Callithrix jacchus: one gene and its partners. The protein of the gene in region 2 interacts with the protein of the main gene of each other region in a biochemical or structural test. Links are inferred from orthologs where the notes say so. Each region holds a gene or a part of one and is shown on either strand. Other genes may lie near its edges.

Region 1 (4,505 bases), on a different chromosome or scaffold from region 2:
TGTAGACAGCATGGGGCTGCTTGGTTAGAGAAGAACTTGCAAAAGCACTCATTAAATAATACTTTGGTAACATGAAAGTAGTCATCAGCCAGTCCCTGAAAGCAGCGATCACAGCTATAAAAATGAATCAGGTATCAACAGGAAGAGAAGGAAAAGGAGAAAAACCTAGTTTACAGCAAAATTTTATAATTTTTTAAAATAAATACACTTCTTTATGTGCATGTTAATTTTCTACTCATTGAAAATGAGATCCATACCTTTGACAGATACACTCTTTGAAGTGAATGTTTTTTCAAATACTTTTGTTTTTTCAACAAGCTGTTTTACTCTGAAGTGATGAGTCGGCTGTTGTATATGTAAAACTGTCTAATGGTATACTGTGCTGTCAACATCTGTACATTTGTAGTAATATTACAGGCATTTTTATTGCAGTTTATTGTTCCGGACTCCCAATAAGCCAGATAAAATCATGTACAAGAACATTAAGGATTAAGGGAAGTGGTTTCCTTAGGTGATTGCTGGCAAAAATTCACCCTCCCATTATAACAACATAGTAAATGGATGGTAATATATTTGGCTATTACTTTCCAACAAATTTGGATTCCTAGTTTTCAGAGCTGCTCTGTGTCTATGTTTGTGGCTTTTTGGTTGTCTCTTCGCAGGAAAAGGTGCCACAATATGAAGTAAATGTGCGAGGTTTCTGTTTTGTAAATATTAAAGTCCATTTTTTGAACATACAGTGCTAGTAAAAATAAGTCAAAGATGTAATGTCTATTTAAATACACATTTGAGCTAGTCATGCTTAAATTAGATTCCATGCTTCGGCTAGAATCAACATAATTAAATATTAGAAACTTCAAAATTCATATGGCCCAAGCTCTCCTCTCCACACACAGATAGAAGGTAGCAATGTGTGGGGAAAACGTCTAGCAATTAAAATCCTAAAAGAAGGGGGAAAACGCAGGCTTTTATGCAAGGACTTGAAAAAACGCTTGCCATCGAATCTTTTATTCAGGCATTCTGAATTTGCTTTGTTAAATGGATACACTCACTGCTAAAGATACAGAGAGACAAGAGCTGTTTTAAATTTGTTTATCACACCGCCCCTAGTTTTCTGCTAAAGAGAAGTACATTTTGGATATTTAAAAGTACACACTCATCAGACAAGTCTCTAAAAGCCTCAGCGCCCCCACCTAGCTGCCTTCTGGGTTTCAGCTTTTGAGTTTCAGGTCCTTGCACAACACCTAAGACGTGCAATACTCTTTCTCCCTAATCCTGGCAGAGAACAGTGCGAAGAGATCTCCCTCCGCGTCTCCACCCAAATTCCCCCTCTTCCCAGATTCCACCCGCTCCGCTACTTCCCTCCGCCCCCGGCTCCGCCAGCCCAATCTGTCAGAGAAGTTGTGTACAAACTGCGCGGCGGCCCTGCGCGCGAAGCTCGTGGCCGGAGAGGGGTGCGGTCGGGCCGGTGGAGGCGGGGCCCCGGCTGCCTCTCTCCCTTTCATAGGCTGGTCGCTTCTGCCTGGCCGGCCTCGGAGCCTCAGGATTCGTGGCGGCACTGCCAATCAGGCGAGCGGGCCCCGCCCTCCTGGAGTTGGGTGAAATAGAGGCGGGCGTCAAGTGTCAGTAGTCGCGGGGCAGGTACGCACGCTTGTAGCTCTGTAGGCGGTGGCGGGAGCGGGCTCCGGAGAGCTTGAGAGCGCGGTGGGGCGGGGCGGGAGAAAGTGACCGCCCGGAGGACGTTGGGGTTTACGTGTGGCAGCGGAAGAGTTTTGCTTTTGGTGCGCGCCTTCGAAAACTGCCTGCCGCTGACTGAGGGGTCCGCCCGAAACCTCCCCTCCTCCGCCCGCAGTCCAGCGCCGAGCTCGCTGGCCTGAGCCAGCGTGGGCGAGGTGGGAAGTGCGCCCGACCCGCGCCCGGAGCCGCGCCCCCGAGTGCCCATGGCTACGCGGGTGCTGAGCATGAGCGCCCGCCTGGGACCCGTGCCCCAGCCGCCGGCGCCACAGGACGAGCCCGTGTTCGCGCAGCTCAAGCCAGTGCTGGGCGCCGCGAACCCGGCCCGCGACGCGGCGCTCTTCCCCGGCGAGGAGCTGAAGCACCCACACCACCGCCCGCCGGCGCAGCCCGCGCCCCCACAGGCCCCACAGCCGGCCCAGCAGCCCGCAGCCGGTCCGCGGCTGCCTCCCGAGGAGCTGGTCCAGGTAGGAAGAGCCGCTCCCCTCCCAGCGCTGCACTCCCGGGCTCGGGCGTGTCCCGCCGCTGCGACGGGCAGGCGACAGGGGCCGCTCCAAGCTGGGGCGTGCGTCGGGGCGCACCGGAGCCGGTGCTGGGGAGGCAGACACCCCCCACCCCCCCCCCCCGCCTGGCCGGGGCCCCGCGTTTCGCGGAGATTAAATGGGAGTCCGGGCCAGGGAGAATATGCCCCGGCGGGTCGTCCTGGGAGAGATCAAAGGGAGGAGAACTGGGTGCTCACGCGCACCTTAGTTGTTTTTCTTATACTTGAGGGATGAAACCTTGTACCTTACGCTCAGTTTTACTTAAATTACGCCTTCGACTTTACCGCTCTCCAATGCCAAGGAATTGGAGCACCCCCCCACACACACCCCCATCGTCTCGGGTTAAGTAGAAACGCAAATTGGGGTGCTGTGGAGAGGTTCCCCAAGGTTTCATACCCTGTGGCTAAACCTGCTTTTAGAAGAGATTGCGGGCCGCGTTTGGAAAATGAGGGGGAAATGAGGGGAAAGCTAAGGTGTTGGAGCGCTTATTTTTCCTTAAAAAAAATACCGGGGAGTTGTTTTCTTCGTGTGCGCGTAAATTTCCTCCCGGGGCCGCGTTGAAAGCTGGCAGTTGGCTTTTACACTTGCCTAGCAGCCGAATTAGAGCCACCGCCTGTTTCTTTCGCCCACGCAGGGAGTCATATAGCCCAGAAAAAACTTCCCAGGACTTTTAGCCTGTCCCAAGGAAAAAAAAATTGGAAACATACCCACATGCAAACAGCTGGAAGAGCTAAAATCAGAAACCACTAACCGCCGCGGGAGCGCAGTGCACGAAAGGGTTTAGTTCAGTTTATTTCAAGACACTTCATTTAGTAGCCCTTTGGCGTATCGTGTATTTGCTACCCAGCGCCTACTCAGTGGGGTCTGCCAGGGTCCTGCTGTGAGGGGGCAGTGGCGTTCGTCAGAGATGTGACTCACATGATGAGAGCGTTAATTTTTATTTTTAAATGGTGTCTATCCGGGAAACCCCGTCCGTATCCACACCAAGGTCCGAGATTAAACGCTCTTGAAATGAAGTAGTAACAGAAAATGACTGTCTTATTTACCGATTAAGGTGCCACAGCTAATAGTTCTTCTATGCGCCGTTCCATCTAGTTGGTTTTCGTATCTTTTGAAATTTCCTTTTCAGTGTTAAAAAATGTAAGTTTAAGTTATACTAGGAGAGAAGATAGCTGGAAAAGGGTTGAGATGACTTGTTACAAGCTGCTTCATAGCCTAGAAAAGAGATCTCTGTTTGAAAAGTATTTGGTTATTTCTGTTTGTGTCAATTTTCTGCTCTGGAGGCACTAAGAAGATAAGGGATGACTGAGCTTTTTACAGAGTAGGGGGGAATGTAGCGTTGGCCCACTGAGGAGGACATGATAAATGTTTTGCTGATGACTGTGCTAGGGATACAGCAGCCTCCCCACCCACTAGCAGCACTCTACCAAGGGAGTGATTTTCCCCTAGGTAATTAAAGATCTGTTTTAGATAGGGATATGAATAGGAACATTTCATTGTCATATTAACCAATTACAGGATCTGCTGATTAAAATCAACATTTAGATCAAATACTGAATGTGAAATTGTTTTGTCTCAGTGGATACAAGGTTTTGCTTAGAATATTGTATTTAATTTCCCATTGAACTGTAAACAAGAAAAGACTGAAATAGCCAAATAATTTTTTTTTAGTATTTGATACTTTGGAAGTATCTAGCCAAGCAAAGAAACCTTTGCAATAATTTAAAGATTTGCACTTTCTCTTTTTTAAGAAAAACTTTTTAATGTTTATGACTTAAACAGAATTGAAGCAGTTTGGCAACGTTTCAATACTGTACTGTACTCTAATTGCAAACTTAACTGTGTAATGGGGCAGGGAATCCTGCTTGTACAGGGGTGATACCTTGTTATTGCATCAGAAAGGAATGTTTTCAGTTTGCTTTCTTTTTTTTCTTGATTTGCGTCTTTCACTTCTGAGGTGATTGAGGGAGCAGTTTTACCAGTTACACAGAGTTTCATAAGGTTTTGGTCAACCAATTATATTACATAATTGATTAAATAAGCCTGATATGTTTTTAAGCAACACGGAGAAGTTTGCCCTAATACCTCACACAGGGATTGGGAGAATTTTAATAGGCGCCGATTGTCCTTCCTGAGACTGTGCATCAGGTGGATTATGCATGTTTGTATCTCTTCTCTTTTTTAGACAAGATGTGAAATGGAGAAGTATCTGACACCTCAGCTTCCTCC
Region 2 (4,529 bases):
TTACACTGTAATCCTAGCACTTTGAGAGGCCAAGGCAGGCTGATCACTTGAGCTCAGGAGTTCAAAACCAGCCTGAGCAACGTAGTGACACCCCGTCTCTACAAAAAAATACAAAAATTAGCCAAGTGTGGTGGGAAGTGCCTGTGTTTGCAGCTACTCGAGAGACTGAGGCAGGAGAATCTCTTGAGCCTGGAAGGTGGGAGTTGCAATGAGCCTGGAAGGAGTGAAAGAAATTCTACCTCAGGAAAAAAAAAAAGCTCCAAGTAATTCTGAGATGGGTGCCATGGATGACCTTCAGATGGTCCACGGACTCTCCTAAAACTGTAGCCACAAAGCACAGGTACATATGGAAGTTTTCCAGGCCAGCAGATTTCTTAAGTTTCACCAAGAAGTAGTAATCCCCAAAAGGTTGTAAAGTAGCACACATATGCTGAGGGTAAAGCTTCATGATTTTGCTCAAAATGGTACCACGTTCTCCCAACCAACCTGGATCAGAATCTGTTACTTTTACTTTCTTCATTTGCCCTCTCATCAAATTTTGGCTATTCTACTTCCTTTCTTCCTTTCCATTCGCGTGCACCACACCTCAGACTACAACACTTGGGAGGTCTTTCTACCTCCACACGCTCCCTACCTCAACTCACACTACAGGCTGCTATCCCACTAATCCCTCTGAAACAAAGTGTTCAAATTGTTTTACTCCCAATTCAAAATCATCTGTGGAAGCCCCACCACCTAGTAAATCCAAGGTTCATAAGCCTGGCATTAAAAACAACCCATAAACTGTTCCAAATTTCTACTTCATGTTTTATCACCCTTTATCCAAATACAAATAACACTATGTTCCACCCAAACATAATTACTTGCCTCTCCCCAAACAGGAACTCTGTGCTCTCTTAGAGATCCCTCTCTGCTTGGATTACCTTTCCTGCCTATCCAAAGTCATAGTGATCCTTCAAAACCACGATTTCAGAAGCCAGAAGCTCTACGAACTAACCCTCTTATCCCTACCTTGCCAAGTAAGATCTGAGCTCTACTCTCTTTGAAGTTGACTTCTGAGAGGATTTTGGTACTGTTTACGAAACGTATATATTAAAAGACAAATAGGGCATTTGTTTATAGCACTATCTACCTAATTAGTGTAAAAGCAGAAACTGCTAATCAGTTCATTTTTGTATTCCCCAAAATATCCCCCACAATTATGCAGTAAATGCCTAACATCTGTACAAGGAAGTAAAGGAAATTTCAGCCACCATGGGGTAAACAGCAAAGATTACTATCTCTTTGAAGGCAGAGACTTTATCTGTGACATTCTCTATTAGGCCGACTTCCAAAAAACATAACTAGTAATTATTGCTTTTGAAAATCCTGATGTCATAGGTCTTACCAGCAGTTTTGCATTTTAAGGTAAGAACTATCTGAAAATGTTAATAAGCTAGGTCCCAAAGAACTATTTCACATACTTTACAATTTTCAATCTGAGTAGATCCAAACACTTGGCCATTATACTTTCCATTTTTAAAATATTAACTATTTATGAAAGATGATCATTTCTAGTCGCAGCTAATTTCCAACTTGATAGCTAAAAACAAGTCACACAATACAAGAACGACTTTCTTTGCTTGCATAATACACACAGATTTGGTGAGGCAGGATTTACACATACACATGAACTCTTGTAAAAAAATAAATAAATAAAACCTGCAGATAACTGTAAACCCATGTATTTCTGGCAAAATCACCAAACGGAGAAAACAAAGACAACTGTGGATATTATTTTTTTCCCCATTACTATTACCAGTAACATTTTAAAGCAGAAACACAAAATCTTGTTCCACATTAACCTACATACAAAAAAAAAACCAAAACTGTTAAACTTTTCAAATAGAAAAAGAAAGCAAAAGCCCCTGGAAAATATTTTACTGGAAGAGTGAATGTCAAAATTATAACAGATGCTACTCTTCTTTGGTAATGAAGGTTTCATATAATTACCAGAGCAAAGAAAACTCCAAATCCACAGAGCAGAGAAGACTGTGAACAAGACTGATCATTTAAAGGTCGTAAAGGTAAGGGGCAAACAAGAAAATGAAAAATTTTATAAAAGAAAACGAAGATGAAAGGTAAGTGTGTAAGTCACAGACAAGATAAGGACTGGTAAAAAGGACTGGTAAAATCTGCAAGGTCACCGGGACCTACCAGGTCACAAAAGGTAGAGGTGGGGGTTGCGCTGGGGGGGCAGGGAGGGGAGCTGCAGAGTCGGTGAAGAACCGGGAGTGACAAAAACACGTCAGAAAAAGGCATTCCAAGGCTGGAGTCCTTGGTTTGCAACATTGAAATTGGGGTGAAAACTCAGGGCACGGGCAATGAGTCCCTATATTTGTGTTCTGAGTGAGGTAGGAAAAGGTGAAGGAAACCGAAGAGAAGGCTGAGGAAGAACCGCGGCTGCAGAGTCACGGAAACATTTAGCTCCGCTCAGGATCACTGGCACAGGCCTGTGCCAGGGCCAACTCTGGGCAAGACCCGTGACCCCACCCCAGAAAACTCCCGGCTCCCGAGCTGGAGAAGGCGGAGAAGGCAGACAAGGCAGGGTGGACCGTCCTCTCACTGCCCCTTGGAGGGTCCCGCCCGCAGGCGGACGGCGCCGGGTGCCGGGCACCGCGGCCAAGGCTCGGGGCCCGCGCCCCCTCCCTCCCCGCCCGCCTCCCCAGTCCTGCGCCCCCAGCCCCGCGCCGCGCAGTCCTTACCCGGCGCGAAGCTGTCGGCTCCCGGCAGCCGGGCGGCCACGGCAGGGACACCTCCTCCTGCGGCGGGCGCCCTCACCCTTCCGCGCCCAAGATCGCCATCTCTTAGCAGGCGCGGCGGCGGCAGCCACCCAGGCGTCGGCCCCGGCAGCCCAGGCCGCCTCAGACACTCGGAACCCGCACGCCGAGCTCGCCGACACCCGACCCTCCCCCCACCCCCACCCCGGCCACGCGCCACCCCCAGGCGACCCCACACCTCCCTTCCTCGGGAGCGCGCTGCGTGGCAGCGTCGCCGGCGCCGCGCCCCGAGCGCGCGCCTCCCCGCCGGCCCCGGCACCGCGCGCGACGCCGCGACAGCCCAAAGCCTCCAACTCCGGACCCGGAATCGGCCTCCCCCGAGCATGCGCAGCGAGGGCGCTCGGAGGCTGCCTTAGAAAACTCCGCTCCTCCGGGTCCTGAGAGCGGTCGAGCAAATGGGAGGGACAGCCAATAGCAGGGAGGGGCGGGGCCTGAACCTGTGGAAGGGGCGGGGCCGCCGCTGAGATTTGGGAAGAGGCTGTTCTAAGACCGCGCTGGGCACTGAGAACACGACTTTCCGGTAGGCGGCCGATCCCAGAGCAAGACTTCTTAAGGTCCTGGGGCAAAAGTAGGCTGTTCATAACTACTCCCTGACCTAGCTGAGGGTTTGACTTAGAACCCATTGCAAGAGTAAATAACTGCATTTATCCATGGTCATACCCGAAGACTTGCAGTCCATTATTTATTAATCAAAACCTTCATTCCCCTGCCCTCACTCACATCAGCCCAGTGATAAAGCTAATACTTCCTGAGCAAGTACACGTGTTGGCACAATTAACCCATACAGCAATCCCATAAAGTAGCGTCTACTGTCTCCATTATACAGAAAAGTCAACTGGTTTAGGAAGTGCTGTTGGTTATGTGTAGCTTTTAGAAGAAAGGCTAATGTGCAAATAGAAGTCAGTGGAACCGCATTACTTAACAGATGATCCGGTTTTCTACTTCAGAGAAGCAGAAGCCTTCAGGCATGGATTTCTACAATTTTTCCCCAATCAACTCCCCCATAGATTATCCCTACGTCCACACTTGTTTTCCTTCTGTCTGGGAGGCTAGATGTCCCTGCCCACACCACTGCCTGCTCTCCACTGAGAGCAGTCCTTTGGCACTTTTTTTTTTTTTTTTGACAGAGTTTCACTCCGTCACCAGGCTGAAGTGCAGTGGAGCGATCTCCGCTCACTGCAACCTCTGCCTCCTAGGTTCAAGCAATTATTCTTCCTCAGCCTCCCAAGTAGGTGGGACTACAGGTTTGCACCACCACGCCTATCTAATTTTTGTATTTTTAGTAAGACGGGGTTTCACCATGTTGACCAGAATGGTCTCCATCTCTTGACCTCGTGACCCACCCGCCTCGACCTCCAAAAGTTCTGGGATTACAGGTGTGAGCCACCGCACCTGGCCTCCTTGGCACATCTTTAACTTCGCCCTCTCCACTGCCTACAACTACTCAGCATAATCACGTTTTAAAACTAGGTCCTAAATTTTCCCTTGATTTTTAAACCTCTAGTTCTCTCGGTCCTTCCATTTTAACTGAGTTTATTGAAAGAACTGAGTGCCAAAAACAGTGCCAACACTCCATGAGTGTGTATAGGATTCGATAAATCTCTTGACTGAACAATCCACATTCCTGCCTACTATGCATTAGTTCTTGCCCTCTGGCTTCACACTTGAATTTGGTGCACATTATAACCACAAAGATCATTCTGAAATACC
Region 3 (4,478 bases), on a different chromosome or scaffold from region 2:
CAGCAGCAACAAGCCTCTAAAGCAGTTGCCCTGCTGTGTAACTCACCCGGTAAGGGGTAAGGTAGACGGTGCCTTTCTTGGTCCCTTTGAAGGCTTCTGGCACGTTCTTCATGTCATTGAATGTGAGTTCCACATGATCATAGGACATCAGGATGCTGTGGTGAGAAAAGAGGAAAAGCCTTGGTCAGACAGTATGGAGATGTGGTATCACCCAGACACTGGGCCTTTCTCCCAAGCAGCTGTCCAGCACATCAGCTCTCGTAACCATCTCAACAGTGCTGCATTAAAACCAATCACAGGGCCAGGCACAGGGGCTCACACCTGTAATCCCAGCACTTCAGGAACCTGAGGCGGGTGGATCGCCTGAGCCCAGGAGTTTGAGGCCAGACTGGCTAACATGGTGAGACCCCATCTCTACAAAAAAACAAAAACTAAAAACAAACAAACAAAAAAACCCATTACTCTAGCCATGGAAGAAATGAGCAGGTTGGGGTTCTATAAAATTTCCCAAAGCCTGCTTGCACAGCCCCAAACGATCACCATTGTAGCAGAGCCGCAGGGCTCTGGAGAGGCCATCATCCCCTAAGCAGGTTAGAAGAGCTGGCTTAACTCTTCTATTTTCTTTTAAGTCCTTGTGATGGATGTTGTTTTTATTGGCTTGCTTTTCAAGCCTAATATATAAACACGTCTAAGAGATAACTGTACACATCACAATAGGACCACCTTCAGGGTTCATTTAAACCTGGGTTTTTAGCTGGTTCTGCCGGAAAGTCTGTCCATGAAGCCCTTGAGATGATCGTGTACGTCACATGTGCATTTTCTGGGAGGAGAGTTCAGTTTTCATCATTCTCAAAGGAGTTCACGACTTGAAGAATAAAGTTCACTATTTATCAATTTTTTAATTTTGAGATGGAGTTTCACTCTTGTCGCCCAGGCTGGAGTGCAGTGGCACGATCTCAGCTCACTGCAACCTCCACCTCCTGGGTTCAAGAGATCTTCCTGCCTCCACCTCCCAAGTAGCTGGGATTACAGGCATGCAGCACCATGCCTGGCCAACTTTTTTGTATTTAATAGAAACAGGGTTTCACCATGTTGGTCATGCTGGTCTTAAACTCCTGACCTCAGGTGATCCACCTGTCTTGGCCTCCCAAAGTGATGGGATTACAGGTGTGAGCCACCATGCTGGGCCTAATTATCAAAATTTGAATGCTGGATTTAAACTTCAATTGTTATAGATACAACTTATTCAGACAGGAGGCTGAAGCACTTTCTAAAACAAGGCACGCCTTATTTAGCAAGACTGAGCTCTAAGCCAGGTAGAAGGCCCAGCAAGATGGATAGTCTTGTCTCAGAAAGTTCCACAGAGACAGAAAGAACAACAGTCCCTAGAGATGTTGCCAAATGGTATGAAAAACTGGCTGGGCCTGGGAACTGACTCACACAGAGATGCAACAAGCCAATGTGAGGTGTCTCTGATTACAGGATAAAAAGATTCACACAGTTCTGTTTGTCTTCTGCCTCCCCCCACATATCACAACTTTCTCTGATAGGGGAAGGGTAAGTGGGAAACCACTGGTATTAAAAAAAAGAGAAGTACCTCTCAGAGAAAAGAAGGAATTACCAGAAACAGGCTGCGCCCATCACACTCTGAGCAGGTAAAATGGACGGAAAGTGAGCATCCTGTGGTCTGGGTCACTCTAGGCATTTTCCTCTGACTCATCAAACATTCCCAACTCACAGGGCACCTGGATGCTGGCCTTAGCTGGGTACAGGGCTCTGATGTCCCCTTTGGGGATGCAGATGCCTCCTAAGCTCCTTCAAGAGGTATTTCAGGGTTGGCATAGTTCAACCCAGGCTGGTTTGATTTTCTTTACTTTTTTTTTTCCTTTTCTATCCATGGAATCACAGAACGGTCTGATTTTCAATACTCAAGGAACAAAAGGAGAGAGAAGCCATTTGAGGAGCCCAGAGGTTGGAGGAGAGACAGAATGCAATGAGCAAGGGGTGGGGAGGGCGGAGTAGAAAGAACCTTGAATTAGGAGACCTCTGCCTTCAGGGGTGACTCAAACCAACAGGCATTCAAGAGAAGAGGCAAGGGACTGACTTTACGGACCCACACAGTGCCAGGAACTGTCAGACATCTGATCAACGTCACCTGTTTAATTTCACCTCTGGGGCCTCAGTTTCTTACCTGGAACCTGATCGGTTCTGGAACATACTGGAAGCCTGTATGATGGTAGTTAATCCTATTAACTTTGGAGTCAAGACTCCTTTCCTGGAATTGCCATCTCTGTTACTTACAGAGTTGTGATTTCGGGCAAGTTACTTAACCTTTCTGTGCCCCACTTTACCTACCTGTGAAATGTGGACAGTAGTAGATTGTACCGCACAGAATTTTTATTAAACAAGGTAGAAAAGGCGCAGAGTCTGACACGTAGTAACGTTGTAGACGTTCAATAAATGACAATTATTTTTGTTTGGGGATCCTCCCAGCTACTAAACTCACAACTCTGGGAAGGGGTTTCAAGAATCACCCTAGGCCCCACCGGTCGTCCCACCCCCAATTCCCAGCTGACAGCAATCTCCCGGCCCTCCCCCCACGGCCCACCCACCTTCCTTCAACCCCGCCCCCAGCCGTTCCCCTCCAACCTCACTCCATCAGCGCTCCCTCTTCAGGGGCTTATTCCCCGCCGCCCGCCGCCCGCCGCCCACTTCCTCGACACCGGAACTTTGGTCCTCCAGGATCCTTCCGCAGTGTTTTCACCTTTCGGTGTTGTTGACGATCACTCCACCGCCCTCCGAGTGATTCTTGTTGAGCGCCATAGTCTCTCCGACAGGGGTCCCGAGACTCACAAGGCAGTGCGCTTGCGCTCGTCTTAGGCCCGCCCCTAGTGGCGTCTTGTTATTAGAGTCAGCCAATCACAGCTCCAGCGCGGAGGCTGGCCCAACCACCTGACCCGAGCGTCACGTGGTAATAGTTTACTCCCTCTCCCTTCCCCCGTTCCGCCTGCGTAACAAACAAGATGAAGACTACAATTCCCAGCAGGCAACTCTCCGGAAACCTCGACCTCTCCCTATGCTGGAGGAAGGATTTATTCTGGAACTTGTAGTCTCCTGGACCATAGACCGGAATTGGCTCCATAATTTGCATAACCAATCGGCTTGTGCCATCCCCACCCCGCCTCCTTAGCGGAACCTAAGTAAACAGCCTTCTGGCAGGGGCGCAATCCTGGGGGTCTGCTCCCGCGTCCGGGAGGTTTAGCCGGCCGAGTGCGACCTGGACATGCTGTGGGATCGCCGAGCAGTCCTCTGATAGATGGGGCGCCTTCGTTCACTCAGCAGACGTTTATGGGGCGCTTGTGTGACTCTGGGGCCTTTAGCTGAGCCCGAGGCCCCGGCTCTTGGGGACGCGGTGGCTGGCGGCGTCCGATCACCCCGTCATCCGTCTCACCAATCCCAGCCCAGAGCCCGGGGGCAGGGAGAGTCCCGCGACGGGAGGGGAGATCGGTGCGCCCCGTCTGGATTCCACCACGTTCACGAGCCGGCCGGGCGCCCCTTGCAGCCTCCGCGCCGCCCTTGCGGTGGCGCGGTTCCCTCAAGGGCGCCCAGCGGGGGCCCGGCCGGAAGATTGAAGGCTGAGTGGGACTGGGCACGGCGCGAGACCGGCAGCCTCATAACTAGGACTTACAGAATAGGGCTGACTCATGCCAGCTCGTGACCCAGCCCTGGGCATCCTCCACGGGGCAGCTATCATTCCCTAACCGCCCCCCACAAACCCCCGCACTTCCAAGCTGAATCCGTGAGGCGGAAAGAGGGGGCTGCACTCCCAACGTGGTGGTTCCGCTACTCGTTAATCTTAAGGATCAGAGTTGGCTTTTCAGCAGACAGTTGCTTTCCTGACCCGCTGGGGCCAACCTCGCGATCCACCTGCTTGACTTCGCTTTCCAGGGAGGTCTCCCTATGTGAAGGAACAAAACTGCCTCACTAGAAAAGATCAGGAAACAGCAGCCTTCTGCGAGGTCCCTTGCAAGACTAGGTTGGACCTTGCAGGACAAGTACAGTGGATTAAGGATGGTGATACTGAGACCTACCCCAATGATTAGATGTATTTTGGCGCCTGCAATCTCTGCAGTCTTTAAAAAGAATGAAGTCAGACTGTGTCCTGATATGGAAAGATTGTCAAAGGTTATTAACACAGAATGCTGAATAAATATAGTATACAGAATGCTGTATAAATATGAATATAGTATACTGTATAAATATACAGAATGCTGTATAAAAACAGGCTGGGTGTGATGGCTCATGCACTTTCCGAGGCTAAGGTGGGCGGATCACCTGAAATCAGGAGTTTGAGACCAGCCTGACCAGCATGGAGAAACTCCGTCTCTACTAAAAATACAAAATTAGCCGGGCATGGTGGCACATGCCTGTAATCCCAGCTACTCGGGAGGCTGAGGCAGGAGAATCACTTGAACCTG

Evidence for each region.
Region 1: of the proteins of WWP1 (region 2) and KLF5, one has a biochemical effect on the other in vitro, tested with the Homo sapiens proteins (4 studies listed by BioGRID, with this or other methods). The link is inferred for Callithrix jacchus from reciprocal best matches to the Homo sapiens genes WWP1 and KLF5.
Region 3: of the proteins of WWP1 (region 2) and WBP2, one has a biochemical effect on the other in vitro, tested with the Homo sapiens proteins (2 studies listed by BioGRID, with this or other methods). The link is inferred for Callithrix jacchus from reciprocal best matches to the Homo sapiens genes WWP1 and WBP2.

Annotation. Positions count from the first base shown.
Region 1 is NC_133502.1:42,208,357-42,212,861, reverse strand, and holds the start of KLF5 (Krueppel-like factor 5), read left to right. Parts: upstream 1-1,628; 5' UTR 1,629-1,940; coding exon 1,941-2,201; intron 2,202-4,461; coding exon 4,462-4,505. UniProt on the Homo sapiens protein: Transcription factor that binds to GC box promoter elements. Activates the transcription of these genes.
Region 2 is NC_133517.1:40,734,623-40,739,151, forward strand, and holds the start of WWP1 (NEDD4-like E3 ubiquitin-protein ligase WWP1), read right to left. Parts: upstream 2,914-4,529; 5' UTR 2,745-2,913; intron 1-2,744. UniProt on the Homo sapiens protein: E3 ubiquitin-protein ligase which accepts ubiquitin from an E2 ubiquitin-conjugating enzyme in the form of a thioester and then directly transfers the ubiquitin to targeted substrates.
Region 3 is NC_133506.1:131,750,740-131,755,217, forward strand, and holds the start of WBP2 (WW domain-binding protein 2), read right to left. Parts: upstream 2,864-4,478; 5' UTR 2,824-2,863; coding exon 2,765-2,823; exon of another isoform or gene 2,650-2,764; intron 156-2,649; coding exon 47-155; intron 1-46. UniProt on the Homo sapiens protein: Acts as a transcriptional coactivator of estrogen and progesterone receptors (ESR1 and PGR) upon hormone activation. In presence of estrogen, binds to ESR1-responsive promoters. Synergizes with YAP1 to enhance PGR activity.